Macaca fascicularis: one gene and its partners. The protein of the gene in region 2 interacts with the protein of the main gene of each other region in a biochemical or structural test. Links are inferred from orthologs where the notes say so. Each region holds a gene or a part of one and is shown on either strand. Other genes may lie near its edges.

Region 1 (4,098 bases), on a different chromosome or scaffold from region 2:
TCCTACCAATTAATCTTTGATTTCATCCTTTTGTAAATCTTCTGGGCCCTAATCAATTGTTATTCAAAGTTACATTTCCTGTGGGTGTCAGATGATCAAGTAGGCTTATTACAAAATTCTCTAGAATGAAACTAATCAAAAAGGTCACAAAATATTATCTTTTGACTTTTTTCCAAGTTTTGAATAAAATTTTAGGTATTTCTCATTTTCACCACAGTCCAATGCAAGTAACTCATTGTAGTAGTACAATGATTATCCCGATTTTCCAGGTGAGAAAACTGAGCCACAGTTTTAGTAACTTGAAGAGTAACCAGTAGTTAAGTAATTCAACGACAGCCACAGAATGGCTGAGCACTGGCTGTACTGGCGCTTTAGGTTATAAGAGTGAGGGAAGGCCTGCCACGCTGCAGGGTTCGAGCAACGACAATTATTTTTTCCATTGCTTTATTTCCACCCATTTATCTGGCTTCTAAATCCAAAATCCTTTTCTAAGACAGTTCACAGGGGTGGAGGGAAGAGGCTGGGCTGAGCTCCACATCATGCTGCCTTTGCTAGCTGTGCTGTCTTGAGCAAGTCATTTATTAATTAGCTTCCTGGCCCTCTGTTCTTCGCTTGTAAAATAGCTGGAACCGCGTTCTCGGAGAGCAGGTGCTGGTGGGTGGCACTGGGGTAAACTCACAAAATAACCGTTGAGGCCGGAGGCGGTGGCTCACGCCTGTAATCCCAGCACTTCGGGAAGACGAGGCGGGCAGATCGCTTGAACTCAGGAGTTCAAGACCAGTCTGGGCAACACTGTGAGACCCTATTAATACAAACAATAACAACAAAAATCAGCCCGTCGTGGTGGCAGTCGCCTGTGATCCCAGCTACTCCGGAGGCTGAGGTGGGAAAGTGGCTTGAGCCCAGGAGGCGGAGGTTGCAGTGAGCCGAGATCGCGCCACTGCAGTCCAGCCTGGGCGACCAAGTGAGATCCCATCTCTAATAAGAAAAAGACAAAAAACACAAAGTAACCATTGAAAGATAGCGTCGCTGGTTGGGTTCACCACATCCCAGCGCAGGCGGGAGCAGGCTGTAGCAGCTTTAATTAAATGTGCGTAAAGAAAGCTGTCTTCCATCTTCCTTGGCACCGCCTCCCACTTCAGTCCACTCCTCGGCCCCGCCCCGGCCCTTCCCTCGTTGTCATGGAGGCTCCAGGACGCCACAGCGGGATAGTTCTGCTCCCGCGGCACCAGAGGCGGGGCACCCTATGACGCATGCGCTCGCTTCGCTGCCCTGGCGCCGCGGTGGCTGCCGGGACTGAGCTCCTAGCACCAGATCGGGAAGTGGCGGGCGGAGTCCCGGGTCGAGTCGTCGCCTCAGCCACCGCCGCCGCCGCCGCCAGTGGCGAGACCCCGACCTGGCGGGTCAGCGCTGGGCGTGCGTGCGGGCAGGCGGGGGCGCTGACGAGGAGCAGGAAGAGGCTGCAGTGCCGGCGTGGGCGGCTGGCCGAGGCGGAGGCGCAGGAACTGGGCGGCGAGTCGTGAGAGGCTGCCCGCCTCACTCAGGTAGGGGCTGCGGCCGCCGGGTGAGGGGCGCAGAGCCCCGTCCTGCTGTTCCCCAGGATCCAGGCGCGCCGCCGCCTCCCGGGAGGCTGAGCGTGACCTCCACCCCACGGGAAGCTGGGGCCGCCGTTCTGGAAGCGAAACACCGAGCACGCGAACCGTTCCCCGGAGCATTGTCTTTAGGCCGGAGGTTCATTGAGCAAACTTTTGGGTTGGAAAGAGGGAAAATTCGCTGTTTGCTACCTGATTGTGCCTCTTCCAAGCCTCCAAGTTCACGGGCGCGGTAGCCAAGCGAACCACGTTGTGGAGTCTGAGGAGCCACGGGGTCCAGCCAGCTCAAGGCTGTGATTTAAAATGATGCTTGTACGCGGACTGCTTTCTGGGCTACCTTTTGGAGACTTGGTTTGTGATGATCCCTAAACATTAACGATAGTAGTTGATTTCTGAAGTCTAAAGACGTTTTCCACAACAATGCTGCGGCCCGCTTTCCGCCCACCTCCTCACTTCCGTCATTTAAGGGCGAAGCAGCCCGCTTTTCATGGCCGGATCCTGAGGTGCCAGGGACACTAACGAGGCTGGGAAAAAGTAAAACAGAGGGGAGGTAGGAAGGTTGAAAGAGGTCGAATGATGGCAAGAATCGTGGGCTTGGAGGCAGATTTCAGTTTAATTTTTGGGTTTTCCATATCTGCCCGCGGAGGAACCAGCCAACTCCTTGAGTTGTGATAGTTTTGTTTAATTGTAAAATGAACATGGTGATGTAACCTGTTTACTACATAGGTGGGTCCAGAGATCTAAAGCGTACTACACATATTGAGTAGTCTTTGAAAAAGGAGGAAAAGTTAGGCGGAGCACGTGAAGACATTGCGAAGCCTTCTGCTCTAGATGCCTTTGAACGTTCCCGAACCTCATAGGTGGCCTTTGTTTTAAAGGCCTTTACCAGCATTCCAGATCTGTTGTAAGGAGCACTTGAGTTAGGAGTCAGGAGGTTTGGGTTCTGGCCCTGGCTCTTCCATCTGTGCGACCTTAACCAGACAGCTTCACTTCAGATTTCATGTATTAAAATAGGAATGACACTAATACCTGTTTGCTCCTGGAGTTGCGAGGGTCAAATACTGTAAGCATTTAGTTTGTTGTAAACTGTACGGCTTTATTTACATCTTTTTTTTTTTTTTTTTTTTTTTTTTTGTGCCGACAGAGTCTCGCGCTGTCTTCCGGGCTGGAGTGCAGTGGCTCGATCTTGGCTCACTGCAACCTCCACCTCCCTGGTTCAAGCGATTCTCCTGCCTCAGCCTCCCAAGTAGCTGGGATTACAGGCGCCCGCCACCACGCCCCGCAATTTTTAAAAATTTTTTAGCGGAAACGGAGTTTCACCATGTTGGCCAGACTGGTCTAGAACTCCTGACCTCGTGATCCGCCCGTCTCGGCCTCCCAAAGGGCTGGCATTACAGGCGTGAACCACTGCGGCCGGCCTATTTAAATATTTTAGAGTCGTTTTTTAAAAGTCCAGATTAAGGTCCTGCCTTTGCAACGTGAAATAATAAGACACAAATGTTTCCTGTTCTAGAAATTCACAATCAGCTTGTTGCCCCCACCTTCTCACTTAACAATTCTCCTTTCTTGTTCTCGGCCCCACGCTTTCCCTCCTCCCAAGGCTGTCTCCTACCTTCCTCAGCGCAGTAAATCGTTCTTTTCTTTCAGATCCAACTCGAAATAGTAATACTGAAATGACATATGTTTTTATGACTTTACTATTTAAAAAATAACACACGTTTTCTCATTCTTACAATTGGGCTGGATGTGGATAGCTTTCGCAGCGTCCTCATTTTACTTATGAAATTGAATGTAGAGGCCTTGTGGGTTGCCTAGCCAGGTGGCTCTTAGGAATTGAAACTGAGGCCGGGTGTGGTGGCTCACGCCTGTTATCTCAGCACTTTGGGATGCTGAGGTGGGCGGATCACTTGAGGTCAGGGCTTCAAGACCAGCTTGGCCAACATGGTGAATGAACCCCGTCTCTACTAAAAGTACAAAAATTAGCGGCGCGTGGTGCTTCGCACCTGTAGCCCCAGCTACTCGGGAGGCTGAGGCAGGAGAATCGCTTGAGCTCAGGAAGCGGAGGTTGCATTGAGCCGATTTTGCCCTACTGCACTCCAGTCTGCGCGGCAGAGCAAGACTCTGTCTCAAAAAAAAAAAAAATTGATACTGAGAGAAGGCAGGTTTTTGATTCACCGTACAGTGATTGTTCACGCCTTAATTGGAATTCACTCTGATTATTTCTTACTAATGCTTATATTTTAAATTTTTAGCTGAATGCTCCATTTCCTCAAATCTAAGCAGCACGCAGACAAGGATTTATCCTCCATAACCTTTCAAAGCTTAGAGCACAGTGCCTCACAAACAGAAGACATTTAATAAAGGCTTGTGAAACCAGTAATAATGGGACCAGAGCAATTTAAAGATGTTGTTCCATGTGTTGTTCATTTAACATTTATTGAGCTATCTGTGCTTAGAAGCTTTCAAAGTATGAGTCTTTTTCCTCCCAGCTGACACTAGTCTTAAC
Region 2 (3,500 bases):
TTAGCAAAAAAAAAAAAAAAAAAGGCAAAACCCTGCTTTCTCTTCTAATTATCTCTCAGTAAATAAGGATAAACGGAGCCATCTGGGTCCACTGACCCTTTACATTTCTCAGTGTTCTTACATCACTTAATAAATAACTTATACAAGGATAAAGATATACTAAAAAGCAACTCTATTAGAAGTTTTAATAAAAATTTAAACAAAAACCTACATTTTCATTATACATTTTTTCTGCTTATGAAAGTATATATACTTGGCCAGGCACAGTGGCTCACGCCTGTAATCCCAGCACTTTGGGAGGCTGAGGTGGGCGGATCACGAGGTCAGGAGATCGAGACCATCCTGGCTAACACGGTGAAACCCCGTCTCTACTAAAAATACAAAAAAATTAGCCGAGCATGGTGGCGGGAGCCTGTAGTCCCAGCTGCTCAGGAGGCTGAGGCAGGAGAATGGCGTGAACCCAGGAGGTGGAGTTTGCAGTGAGCTGAGATCACACCACTGCACTCCAACCTGGGCGACAGAGCGAGACTCCGTCTTAAATAAATAAATAAATAAATAAATAAATAAAGTACATATACTTGAAATGGGCAATGTCCTTTGAATGCAATTAACTGCGCAACAAGTGTCTTGCATGGACCTGGCAATCACCATCCCAAGAATATAGAGTCCAGATTTCAAATACATAGGTTCAAATACAATAGGTTATAGCTCACTGTTGCTTCTGGTTCTTTTTCTTATACTGTCAAAATGCAAAACTTTTGAAAACTTGATGGCTCATAATTTTGTTCAAAAGAGAATGGCAGTCTATGATACACAACCGTAAAGCCAATTAGGTTGATCCACACAATGTTTTCATTTCCATATCATCTCTTTCCTTCCAATCACCGTTGTATACACACCTGGCTTTAGCATTTGTCCACTGATGAACTATATCAAGTAGATTTTAGTACATCTATCACAACTTTCATCACATAATTGTTAAATGTATTCTTATATGTTTTCATTCATGAAATATTTGCCTTAATCCCTCTTAAGCCTACAAGACTGAGAGGGCACTGAATTACCACGCAGGAGGGTTCTTAGTAGAGAGCAGCTCAGGGACGTGGATGACTGGATGCTCTCGGGAGTATCAGAACAACAAAGGCACGGCAAGAAACAAACACCTGACTGTACTGTTTATACTTTATTATTTAAATCAGAAATGCAAACTTAAATTTTCCTGGGAGTCCGACAAGCATGCTGGACACATGGGAGCGGTACAGACAAGGGTGAGCTAAAAAGGGCTGTCTCTAAAATCACTAAAATTACTTTGTTTTTAAAATTGTGTGTGGGGTCAAACAAAATTGTAGAGGCAAGATTTAGGTCTTTGGGTAAAAGTCAGCATCCACGATTACACACCACTAAGTTCCAAAAATGATCAGAGATAGCTTATAAACAACAACCATATATGTAGCAAGGTGAATAAATGCAAATAGGAAATACTAGATCTAAAGGGAGTATGAAGGAGGAAGGTATCTGTACAAGAAAACTGAGGAGATGCAGAGACTGCAAGTAACCTTTTAATTTGGTCATAAGCTTTCTAACATGAAAAGCTGCACGCTTCTTATTGACGGGGATTATTTGGAAATATTTGTTGTTTTTTCAGGAAGATGAAATTATTTCCTATCCCTAATACCCTGTTACATATAGAACCCACTTCACTTAGGTAGAAAAATCCATTTAGGACAAGAACAGTCATCCTCATTTTGTGGGAAGGACACAGACCTTCAAAGATTCATATGCAGTCCCCACAGTAAAAATAAAAAACAAGAACTGCCAGAAATTATACTGATACTGTGACTAAAGACCTAAAATAGCATAAGGGAAAGAGACTACATAACATTGTGATTTGGCGATATCAGATACAGGGAAATGTCTATAATATAATAATAATGACAGTGAAAATCACATTAAATTTTATTGGCTCAGGTATATAAACACAAATGACCACATTCCTAAACCTGTTAAGAACCTTTTACTGAGGGCACTGACTAAGATGGCTTTGCTTCCCTTTCCCAAGTGTGAGATAAAGCAAATTTTGATACACAATTGCTGTTAGTGCCATTCCCTCCCTTAATAAAAGGATCCATCAGAAAACAGAGCAGGAACACAACTCAAAGGGACTCCTAAGTGGGAGGAAACATAAAACACCAAGTACTCACTGCAGCTGCGGTACAATCCCAGAACTCTCCGAAGCCGGAGTGGCAGGAGTGATGGGGGTCATGGGGGTCACGGGGGAGGGATACAGTGGAGTGGTGCCCGGCAAGGGTGCAGTTGTGAGAGTCTGTGAGTGGAAGAGCTGTGGTGCCTGGCCTGAGGTTCCCTGTGTTGTCTGCTGGGATGTTGACTGCTGAACGGCTGCAGCGGCCACTGCCTGTTGCTGCTGCTGCTGCTGCTGCTGCTGTTGTTGCTGTTGTTGCTGCTGCTGCTGCTGTTGTTGCTGCTGCTGCCTTTGTTGCTCTTCCAAAATAGACAGACTATTGGTGTTCTGAATAGGCTGTGGGGTCAGTCCAGTGCCATAAGGCATCATTGGACTAAAGATAGGGATTCCGGGAGTCATGGCACCCTGTGGAAAGCAAGGAGAAAAACAGGTTAGGCTGGCTGCTGCTGAGTGTTTGTGGAAGTTTCTTGGTGGAACAGCAGGTGAGATGTGCAAAGACAGACGCCCTCTGAGAATAATGGGGTTATTAATCTTTAATTACGGAAGAACCAGCTATTCTTATACACATTGCTTTCTTCTTTAATACCACACAGTGGATAAACATGAAGAAAAATGGATAAACTGAACTTTGGAAAAATTAAAAACTTCTGTTCTCTGAAAGACACCATTGAGAAAATTAAAAGGCAGGCCACAGATTGGGAAAAAAATACCTATAATACATACATCTGAGAAAGGACTGGTAAACAGAATAATAAAGAGCTCTGACAACTCCATAAAAAAAGATCAACAAATAAAATAATGAAAAAGGACAAAAGATGTGAAGGGCATATTACAAATGAAGATACAGGCATACCTCAGAGATACTATGGGTTAGGTTCCAGACCATCTCAATGAAGCAAGCAGCATGAATTTTTTGGTTTCCCAGTGTCTACAAAAGTTATGTTTACACTATAGTCTATTAAGTGTGCAATAGCATTATGTCTAATAATATGTATATACCTTAATTTTAAAATGCTTTATTGCTAAAAATGCTAACAATCCTGTGAGCCTGCAGCAAGTCATAATCTTTTTGCTGATAGAGGATCTTGCCTCGATGCTGACAGCTGCTGACTGATCAGGGTGGTAGCTGTGGCCATTTCTTAAAATAAGACTGACGAAGTTTGCCACAAGGACTGACTCTTCCTTTCACTGAGATGTCTCTGTAGCACACGACGCTGTTTGACAGCGTTTTACCCACGCTAGAACGTAGTTCAAAACTGGAGTCAGTCCTCTCAAACGCTGCTGCTGCTTTCTCAACTAC
Region 3 (4,028 bases), on a different chromosome or scaffold from region 2:
CCTGGTGTCCACGTCTAAGGCCCAAACAGCTGGGAAGATGTGGAATCACCTTTGTGCTGCCTGGCGGCTTAGGAAGGCCTTCATGGCCGGCCTCCTCCCACGGCCACACAGAGGAAAGGTGGATGTTAATACAGGTGACGAGACATGCAGAAAGAGGACCTGCGCCCAGCCCAAGGGCACATGTAGTTTTACATGCTGGCCAAACATTTATCAGTGCCCGCGAAGTGCTTCAGTGCGGGGGCTAGGCCTTACTGTGGCATAGAATCCAGATCAAATTCTACACTATCCCCTGGAACGCTTTGCTCCTACGGGATTCTAGGAGTAGTTCCCGCAGACCAGAGGTGGAGCAGCGCAGACCATCATGGAGGGTGCACTGTAGCCCGCACTCTTAGAAATAGAAAGTGTCATCTGGAGTGGAGAACGAGGGGCTGCTTTATTCTAACGGACTTTTTCTTTTGATTGTCTCAGTCCTCTGTTGGATTGCGTTCACCCCTGGCGCCAGGGCCCCCTGGCCCCACTCAAACGTGTGTGTGTGTGTGTGTGTGTGTGTGTGTCGGTGTTGGCGGGGGGGAGGGGGGAAGTGTTGAGATTGCCTCTCCCCTCAACCTGTGGCATAGTCAGCAGACACCAACATGCCCAGCTGTCTTTTTCTTTTGACTTCAAAATAAACCTCAAGGGTGGACGGTGAAGAAGCATTAGAGCGCAGGACTAGTGCAGGTCGGGGATGGGGTCCGCTGGGGACTGCCCCCGGATAAAATGTGGAACAAATTATTCCCAACACGGCCGGGATCGCTATGACTTTGTGATCTTGGGGCCCAAGGCCCTAAGCGTTGGAAAGGACACTCTGCTTATGCAGCAGCTTTCCTGGCAGAAAGTGAATTCAAATCGAGGATGTTTCACCACGCGGGTTTTGCCTAAGCATACATTTTTTCACACTTCTTTTAAAAAACAACCACCACAAACAAACAGAAAAAAAAAAAAAAAAAAAAAAAAAACCCACAACGATCCTTTGGACTTTCAGACCACCAGGATATGAGTCAAACGAAATCTCGTGTTAACACCCCGCTTCTTCCCCGCTGGAGGCCACCGGGAGTCCGGGAAGCGCTTGGCCCCCAACTAGCTTTCCGGCGGGCCGCCCGAGGGGCGGGCGCCGAGAGAAACGTCACTCTCTTCAGCGGCGACAACCCAGCGCGGGGCCACCTTCTCCAGCCATTAGGCTTAGGGAGGGACTGGCCTTTCAAAGACGTTTAATCCCCAGATAAAAATCATTCCTCAGCATCACGCCATTGAATTCTGGCTGCTATTATGCCGAGCAAAATAATCGGAGGAAACGAGGAAAACTTGGGAATTTCCCGTGCTCCTGAAATATCTGCGAGCGTGTTCTCTGAGCAGAGCAGCCAGGGGGCCGCGAGGCCTTGGAGCGAACTGCCTTGAGCACCTGGAGTCCACTTTAATGGCTCAGTTCTAGACATTTGTGAGCTTCCGACAGGATTAAAGAGGGCGCCTTCCCCTAATTGACTTGGTGCCCCGCCCCCTCCACTGGAACTTGAGTGTCCCCACCCCTGAATCATCCATCCGCCCAAAGCACCAACTATCTGCCTCAAACTCGAAGGGCATGGGGAGGTGGAATTCTGTAGAAGCTTCGGAACCTCTAGGCAAAGATGTACTTGAAAGCGAAGAGGGGCTGGGGGACGCCAGCTCCTACTGTGAGAAAGTGAAACTCCGGGTGCAGGCAAGATCTGCGCACCACACACATTCATCCGCTGGGGTGAAGCCGATGAAACAGAGTTTGGGATCAGATGAGGGATCATGGACCCCCGGGGTCGTTTGGTGGGGGCAGGAGGACAGGGTGCCCAGACATCGGTGTCCTATCCGTTAACTCCCACCCGCGTCTCCGGGCCAAGGCGAGGAGGTCTGGAACCTTCTTCCTGGGTGGGAATGGAGGGAGGCGCAAGACCCGGCCTTGCAGCCCTCGACTCCCTAGCACCGGCTGCAGGTACGCAGGCGCCGGAGGCCAGCAGGAGCCCTCGGATCCCACACCCCGCCCGGCCCCCTCCCTCGGCGCCTGGGTTCTGGCTACTCACTGGCCGGCGGCGGGGAGAAGCGGGGGCTCTGCATCCAGGGCGTCCTCTCGGGCTTCTCGGGGCTCTCGGCTTTGACGAGCGCATCTTCTGGCAGCTTCAGGAGTCCCCCCACCGAGAAATGGCCGAGCGGCCGCGGCGAAGAGGGCGCGTCCGGGGCGCCCAGCGACCCCGGCGGGACGCCCAGTGGCTGCGCCGGGCCACCCGCCGCCTGCGCGCCCTCGGAGGGCGCCAGGGCGCTCTCCTTGGCCCCCGGCTTCCTGTGGTCGGCCATGAGAGCCTCCACGCTGAAGGGCAGGAGCGAAGGGGACACTTTGGGCTTGGCCCCCTCCTCGTCCGCGCCCATGGCGGCAGCCGTGGCCGCGGCTGCGCTGGGGGCCTGGCCCGCGCCTCCCCCCGCCGGCTTGCCGAAAGCGGAGTCCTCCACTTTGACACCGAGTGGCAAAGAAGTCATGTCAGCAGCCGGGGCCATGCAGAGCCGGGCCCCCCCTCCTGCCGCAGCACGGGCCAGCCGCCGGGCATGGGCTCGGGGCGGGCTGGGAGCGCTGCCTGCCTCTGGGAGCGCCCGGGGCTCTGGCGGGGCGGACCCTCCCGCGCGCGCCTCCCGCCCCTCCCCAGCAGGCCAGCTCCGGCGCGCTGGGCCTGGCTCCTGGTCGTCGCCGCCGCCGCCGCTGCAACACAGGCCGAGTTCCCGGGAGCACCCGCCGGTTCCTGGCCCTGCCGCGGCTCCCCAGAGAACTTGCTAATAAGGCGAGGCCAGCGCGGCGGCGGCCAATCAGCGCGCAAGGGGGCGGGCCCGGAGCGATCCATTGGGCCGCGCTCCTGGGGATTCTCCCGGAGGCGCGCTGGGCCTGGGGGCGCGCAGGGCAGGGCCCAGGCGGCGGAGGGCAGGAGAGGAGAGGGGGTGCCCGGGGAACTTTCCTCCGCGCTGAAGCCCAGGAGGCCCTCTCTGCGGGGGTCCCCCTGGGTCTCTATCTTTCTGTGTTCCCGGGGGATTTTCCCTTGTTCTTGCTCAGTCTCTTCTGTCCTCCTCTCCTCCCCTCTGCTCCTCAGCCCTCTTTTCCGCTACTCTTCCCACCTCCCGCGTCCTTGTTTCTCTCCTCTACTGCTTCTTTTACCTTTCTCTTTAGTCTGTGGCTGGGTTTCCCTGTGCCTTCTCCACTATCTGACCCCCCCCCGCCTTCTTCTTTTACAATAATTTGAGTTGAGGTCATTTCTTATACATTCCTTTTATATATTTTTAAAAATACGCATGGCTATTTATCCTAGGAGAAAGACATACTATTAACTTCTTTCCAAAAAACGAAACAAAATCAAACCTTCATTTTCTTCCTGTTCTGAAATCTTCTAAACTTTACCTAGAGGTAAAAGTGGGCCTTTGTCTCTAACTCAGAGCTGGAGTAAACCTTGCGGGAAGAAGCCAGCTTCCTGTGGTGCCATGGATGTGAGAATACTAAGATTATCTAGAATCTGGAGTCGGTTTTCATACACCATGTGTATTTCTCCCCCACCCTCGCTCTGAACTTCTGTCCCGAGGGTCACAACACCTATAGCGCCCGGCCAGGGAAAGGAGCTGCCGGATTCTTTTGATATAGAAATAAAACCAACAGAAACATCAACAAAACACCGATCTGACCTTAACGTGACCTCAAACAACGCGTCCGCGGAAACAATGACATGTCCCTATCTCTGGGTCGCTGATTCTGGAGGGGAAAGTCACATTTGGGGGAGGGGGCCGGGAAAAGAGGACAGTTCCTGGCGGTGGACTCTCGTGCGGGACTTGAGAACTTTTGTTTTGCCGATTTCGGAGAAAACATGATTTAATGTTTGCTGTTAATAAAAAGAAAGTAACAAACAGGAAAAAATGAGTTGGGGTCAGGGGAGATGCAAGATCTGTGCGAAGCGGGGTCGGCGCTTGGCCATTTTCTGCGCCTGTCGCTTTATGGC
Region 4 (4,138 bases), on a different chromosome or scaffold from region 2:
AAAAAAAAAAAAAAAACAAAAAATAAAAAGAAAGAAAGAAAGAAAAAACGTCAGATCTCCCTAAATTTATCGAAAGGTTTAATGCGATTCCAATGAAAACCCCACCAGGACTTTTGTACAGGTTGAACATCCCAAATCCAAAAATCTGAGATTATAAATGCTCCAAAACATGAAACTTTTTGAGCATCAACACAATGCTCAAAGGAAATGCTCACTGGAGCATCTCAGATTTCAGATTTTTGGATTAGGGATGCTCAACCAGTAATTATAATGCAGATATTCCAAAATCAGAAAAATCCAGTATCCAAAACACTTCTGGTCCCAAGCATTTCAGATAATAATATGTGACCTATAGATACTCATAAACTTACTCTAAAATTAAAAAGGGAAAGGGAAATTAATAGCTACAACTTTGAAAAGGAAGAACAAAGGTTGGGGGACTCACAATATCTGATTTCAGGACAATATAAAAGGTACAGTAAAAAATTGTGATGCTGACAAAGGAAACGGCACCTGATCAACAGGGCAGGACACAAGGCCCAGAGGCAGACCTGCACGGACGGGGCCCAGTGAGCACAGCTGAGGGAGCAAAGGCCTTCAGTGGACAAAGGGCAGTCTTTCAAAAAACGGTGTTGAAACAACGGGACCTCCACATAAACAACGAGCCTCAACCTACGAAGCACACCTTATACAAAACTTAGGTCAAGATAGACCACATTTAGGCCAGGAATAGTGGCTCATGCCTGTAATCCCAGCACTTTGGGAGGCCAAGGCAGGCAGATCACCTGAGGTCAGGCGTTCAAGACCAGCCTGACGAACATGGTGAAACCCTGTCTCTACTACAAATACAAAAATTAGCCAAGTGAGGTGGCGCACGCCTGTAATCCCAGGTACTTGGGAGGCTGAGGCACGAGAATCATTTGAACCTGGGAGGCAGAGGTTGCAGTGAGCCGAGATTGTGCCACTGCGCTCCAACCTGGGCCACAGAGTGAGATTCTGTCTCAAAAAAACAAACAAACAAACAAAAAAGTGAAAACTTCTGCTTTGAAAAATCACATATACAACAAAGGGCTTGTAACTACAATCCACAAAGAACTCTCAAAACTCAACAATAAGAAAACAACCCAAACAAAAAATGAGAGTCAGGGTGTGGTGGCTCACGCCTGTAATCCCAGCAGTTTGGGAGGCCAAGGCTGGAGTATCACTTGAGCCCAGGAGTTTGAGACCAGCTTGGGCAACATAGAAACCTTGTCTCTACTAAAAATAAAATTTAAAAAAATTACACGTCGTGGTGGCATGCACCTGTAGTCTCAGCTACTTAGGAGGTTGAGGCAGGAGAACTGCCTGAGCCTAGGAGTTCAAGGCTGCAGTGAGCCATGACTGGGCCATTGTACACCAGCCTAGGCCACAGAGTGAGATCCTGTCTCAAGATAAATGAAAAATAAGACTTGAGCACACGTTTCAATAAAGAGGATTCGGGCATGGCAAATAAGCATCCTAATGAGGTAGAACATCACCAGCCAGTAGGGAAATACAGAGCACCACTCTGATGAGATGCCACACACCTGTTAGAACAACCAAACTAAAAACCTCGACAACACCAAGTGCTGATGAAGATATGGGGCAACTGGCGAGAATGCATAACGGCACAGCCACATCACAAAACAGTTCATGACAGTTTCCCATAGAGTTAAACATATAGCTAACTTCCCCAGAGAAATGAAAACGTATGTTCACACAGAGAGTTGCACATGAATCGTTTCAGCAGCTCTATTCACAACCACCTGAAATTAGCCACAGTCCAGCTCCTTCCACAGACTGGGGTCCATCCCCAGCTCACAATACTGCTCATCCCTGACACGTCCCCTCCCAGGCCTGCAGCAGCCTGAGTGGCCCTAGGGCATCCGCCCGGGAACCGCCAAAGCCAAGGGCAGCAGCAATCGGATGCTAAGTACCAGACATTGCTGAAAACAAAACTGCAGGCACAGAGACTGACAGTGAGGGACAGCTTGAGGGGCCTTCTGGGCTCCCCAGGCTGTCCTCAATCCTCCCTGTGCTGGCTGCCCTGGCCCACGCGTGTGTCGAGGAAGTCCACACGCGCCACGGGGGTCCATACTCACGCCAAGGGGATCCACACTCGCGCCAAGACGACGCAGAACCGTGCGCCCCGACAGAGCGGGCGGTACCGAGGCGCGGGTCCGGGCCGCGCCGCCACCGCCTCCAGCCCGCCTAAGCCGCATCGGGAAGTCCGCGCAGCGCCAGCCCGCGGGACTCACCGTCCAGGGACACGAACTGGCCCACGGCCGAGGAGCCGCCGCCACTGCTCTCCACGAACTGCACCTCGGACACGATGATGTTGTCCTCCAGCACTGAGCCGCAGGCGGTGCACACCGCGTCCCCGCGCGCCGCGTCCAGCTCGATGTCCGTGCCGCCGCAACCGCGGCACACGCGGCCCGTCATGCCGGCGAACGCGCGGGCAGGGCCCGGAGCCTCCCAAGCCTCCCAAGCCGCCCGAGCCTCCGGAACAGCCCGCGCCGCCTGCCCAGGCCCAGCCGCCCGCCCAGGCCCAGTCGCTCAGGCCTCGCCGCTCTCGCGAGGCCTCGCGCCCGCCGATTGGCAGCCGCAGATTCGCCGCGCGCGCCGGGGCCGCGCCGCCCGTAACGGCCGCGCCTGCGGGACTGGGACAGGCACCGGGACCACAGCGGGGACGCGAGGACTGGAGCCGCGACCTCCCGGCCTGGCGCGGCCGCGGTCTCCCCACAGTGAGCGAGCTGGCCTCCCGTGCGGCGCGCCGGCGTAGGAGGGGCCGCCCGCGGGGGCGGGGCTTCGGCGGAACGGAGCCGGAGGCGGGGCCTCTCGGTGAGCGCAGCCGAGGACTGGCGCTTCGGGGCGGGGCCACGGCGGTGAGCGCCGCCCGGGACAGGAGCTGGGGGCGGGGCCTCAGTGGCGGGCGACGCCGGGGATTAGAGCTGTGGGCGGGGCCTCGCAGTGAGTACGGCCAGGGACGGGACCCGAGGCTGGCGACTGGACTTAAGGCAGTGGGCGGGCCCTTGGCGATGAACGCAGTCGGGGACTAAAGCTGGACGCGGGGCAGGGGAGGGTCCTCCTCGCATAGTGAGCGCGGTCTCAAGCGGCGAGCGAGGCCTGAGAACTCGGAACCGGGGTCGGGGCTGAGGGTGGTGGGCGGGGCCTCAAGTAGAGAGACTCGGCCTGCGAAGGGAACTGGAGCTGTGGGCGGGGAAGGGGGCGGAGCCTGGGTCTCGACCCGAACTGTGAGCCGGGCCTGAGGCAAGGGGCCGAGCGTGGTGGGCGGGGCCTTGGCTCCTGAGGGCGATCTAGGACCCAAGCTGGCGCTCTGGGAGTGGTGGGCGGGGCCAGGGCAGCTGCGCTGGGGGGCCTGGCCGCGCAGGCGGAGACACCCGCCCCGGGCTACCCTGCTCCGCCCTCCGCATTTGCGGCGCCCGCCCCTCCGCTCGCCCTAGTTCTGGAGCTTCCCCGTGGCCCCGCTATTCCCCGTTTTCTGTTTCCTAAAATTCCCACTTTCTAGCAGTCGTTCGTGGCCACCTGTGGTTTCCCGTGAGTCACCTCGCTGTGCCCCCTGCCCAGAGTGGGAACCTTGGCTGCGCACGCCCTCAAATATCTGCAGATGCGGTTCATAATCGCCATAGGGCCCGTGACATACCCAGCAATAAGTCTAAAAAGAAATGCGCGACCTGGCGCGGTGGCTCACGCCTGTAATCCCAGCACTTTGGGAGGCCTAAGGCGGGCGGATCACGTGAGGTGAGGAGTTCGAGACCAGCCTGGCCAACATAGCGAAACCCCGTCTCCACTAAAAATGCAAAAAAATTAGCCGTGCTTAGTGGTGGGCGCCTGTAATCCCGGCTACTCAGGAGACTGAGACAGGAGAATCGCTTGAACCTGAGAGGTGGAGGTTGCAGTGAGCCGAGATCGCGTCATTGCACTCCAGTCTGGGTGACGGGACAAGAGTGAAACTCCGTCTCAGAAAAAAAAGAGAAAAAGGGAAATGCGCAAGATCCCACCCCCCACTCCCCACCCTTTTTTTTTTTTTTTTTTTTTTTTTTTTTTGAGACGGAGTCTTTACTCTGTCGCCCAGGCTGGAGTGCAGTGGCGAGATATC

Evidence for each region.
Region 1: the proteins of TBP (region 2) and GTF2E2 form a complex in vitro, tested with the Homo sapiens proteins (2 studies listed by BioGRID). The link is inferred for Macaca fascicularis from reciprocal best matches to the Homo sapiens genes TBP and GTF2E2.
Region 3: the proteins of TBP (region 2) and MSX1 form a complex in vitro, tested with the Homo sapiens proteins (2 studies listed by BioGRID). The link is inferred for Macaca fascicularis from reciprocal best matches to the Homo sapiens genes TBP and MSX1.
Region 4: the proteins of TBP (region 2) and BRF1 form a complex in vitro, tested with the Homo sapiens proteins (2 studies listed by BioGRID). The link is inferred for Macaca fascicularis from reciprocal best matches to the Homo sapiens genes TBP and BRF1.

Annotation. Positions count from the first base shown.
Region 1 is NC_088382.1:33,861,081-33,865,178, reverse strand, and holds the start of GTF2E2 (transcription initiation factor IIE subunit beta), read left to right. Parts: upstream 1-1,298; 5' UTR 1,299-1,904; exon of another isoform or gene 1,905-2,142; intron 2,143-4,098. UniProt on the Homo sapiens protein: Recruits TFIIH to the initiation complex and stimulates the RNA polymerase II C-terminal domain kinase and DNA-dependent ATPase activities of TFIIH. Both TFIIH and TFIIE are required for promoter clearance by RNA polymerase.
Region 2 is NC_088378.1:506,202-509,701, forward strand, and holds part of TBP (TATA-box-binding protein), read right to left. Parts: intron 2,606-3,500; coding exon 2,202-2,605; intron 1-2,201. UniProt on the Homo sapiens protein: The TFIID basal transcription factor complex plays a major role in the initiation of RNA polymerase II (Pol II)-dependent transcription.
Region 3 is NC_088379.1:8,182,999-8,187,026, forward strand, and holds the start of MSX1 (homeobox protein MSX-1), read right to left. Parts: upstream 2,801-4,028; 5' UTR 2,554-2,800; coding exon 2,085-2,553; intron 1-2,084. UniProt on the Homo sapiens protein: Acts as a transcriptional repressor. Capable of transcription autoinactivation.
Region 4 is NC_088381.1:173,470,408-173,474,545, forward strand, and holds the start of BRF1 (transcription factor IIIB 90 kDa subunit), read right to left. Parts: upstream 2,801-4,138; 5' UTR 2,461-2,800; coding exon 2,277-2,460; intron 1-2,276.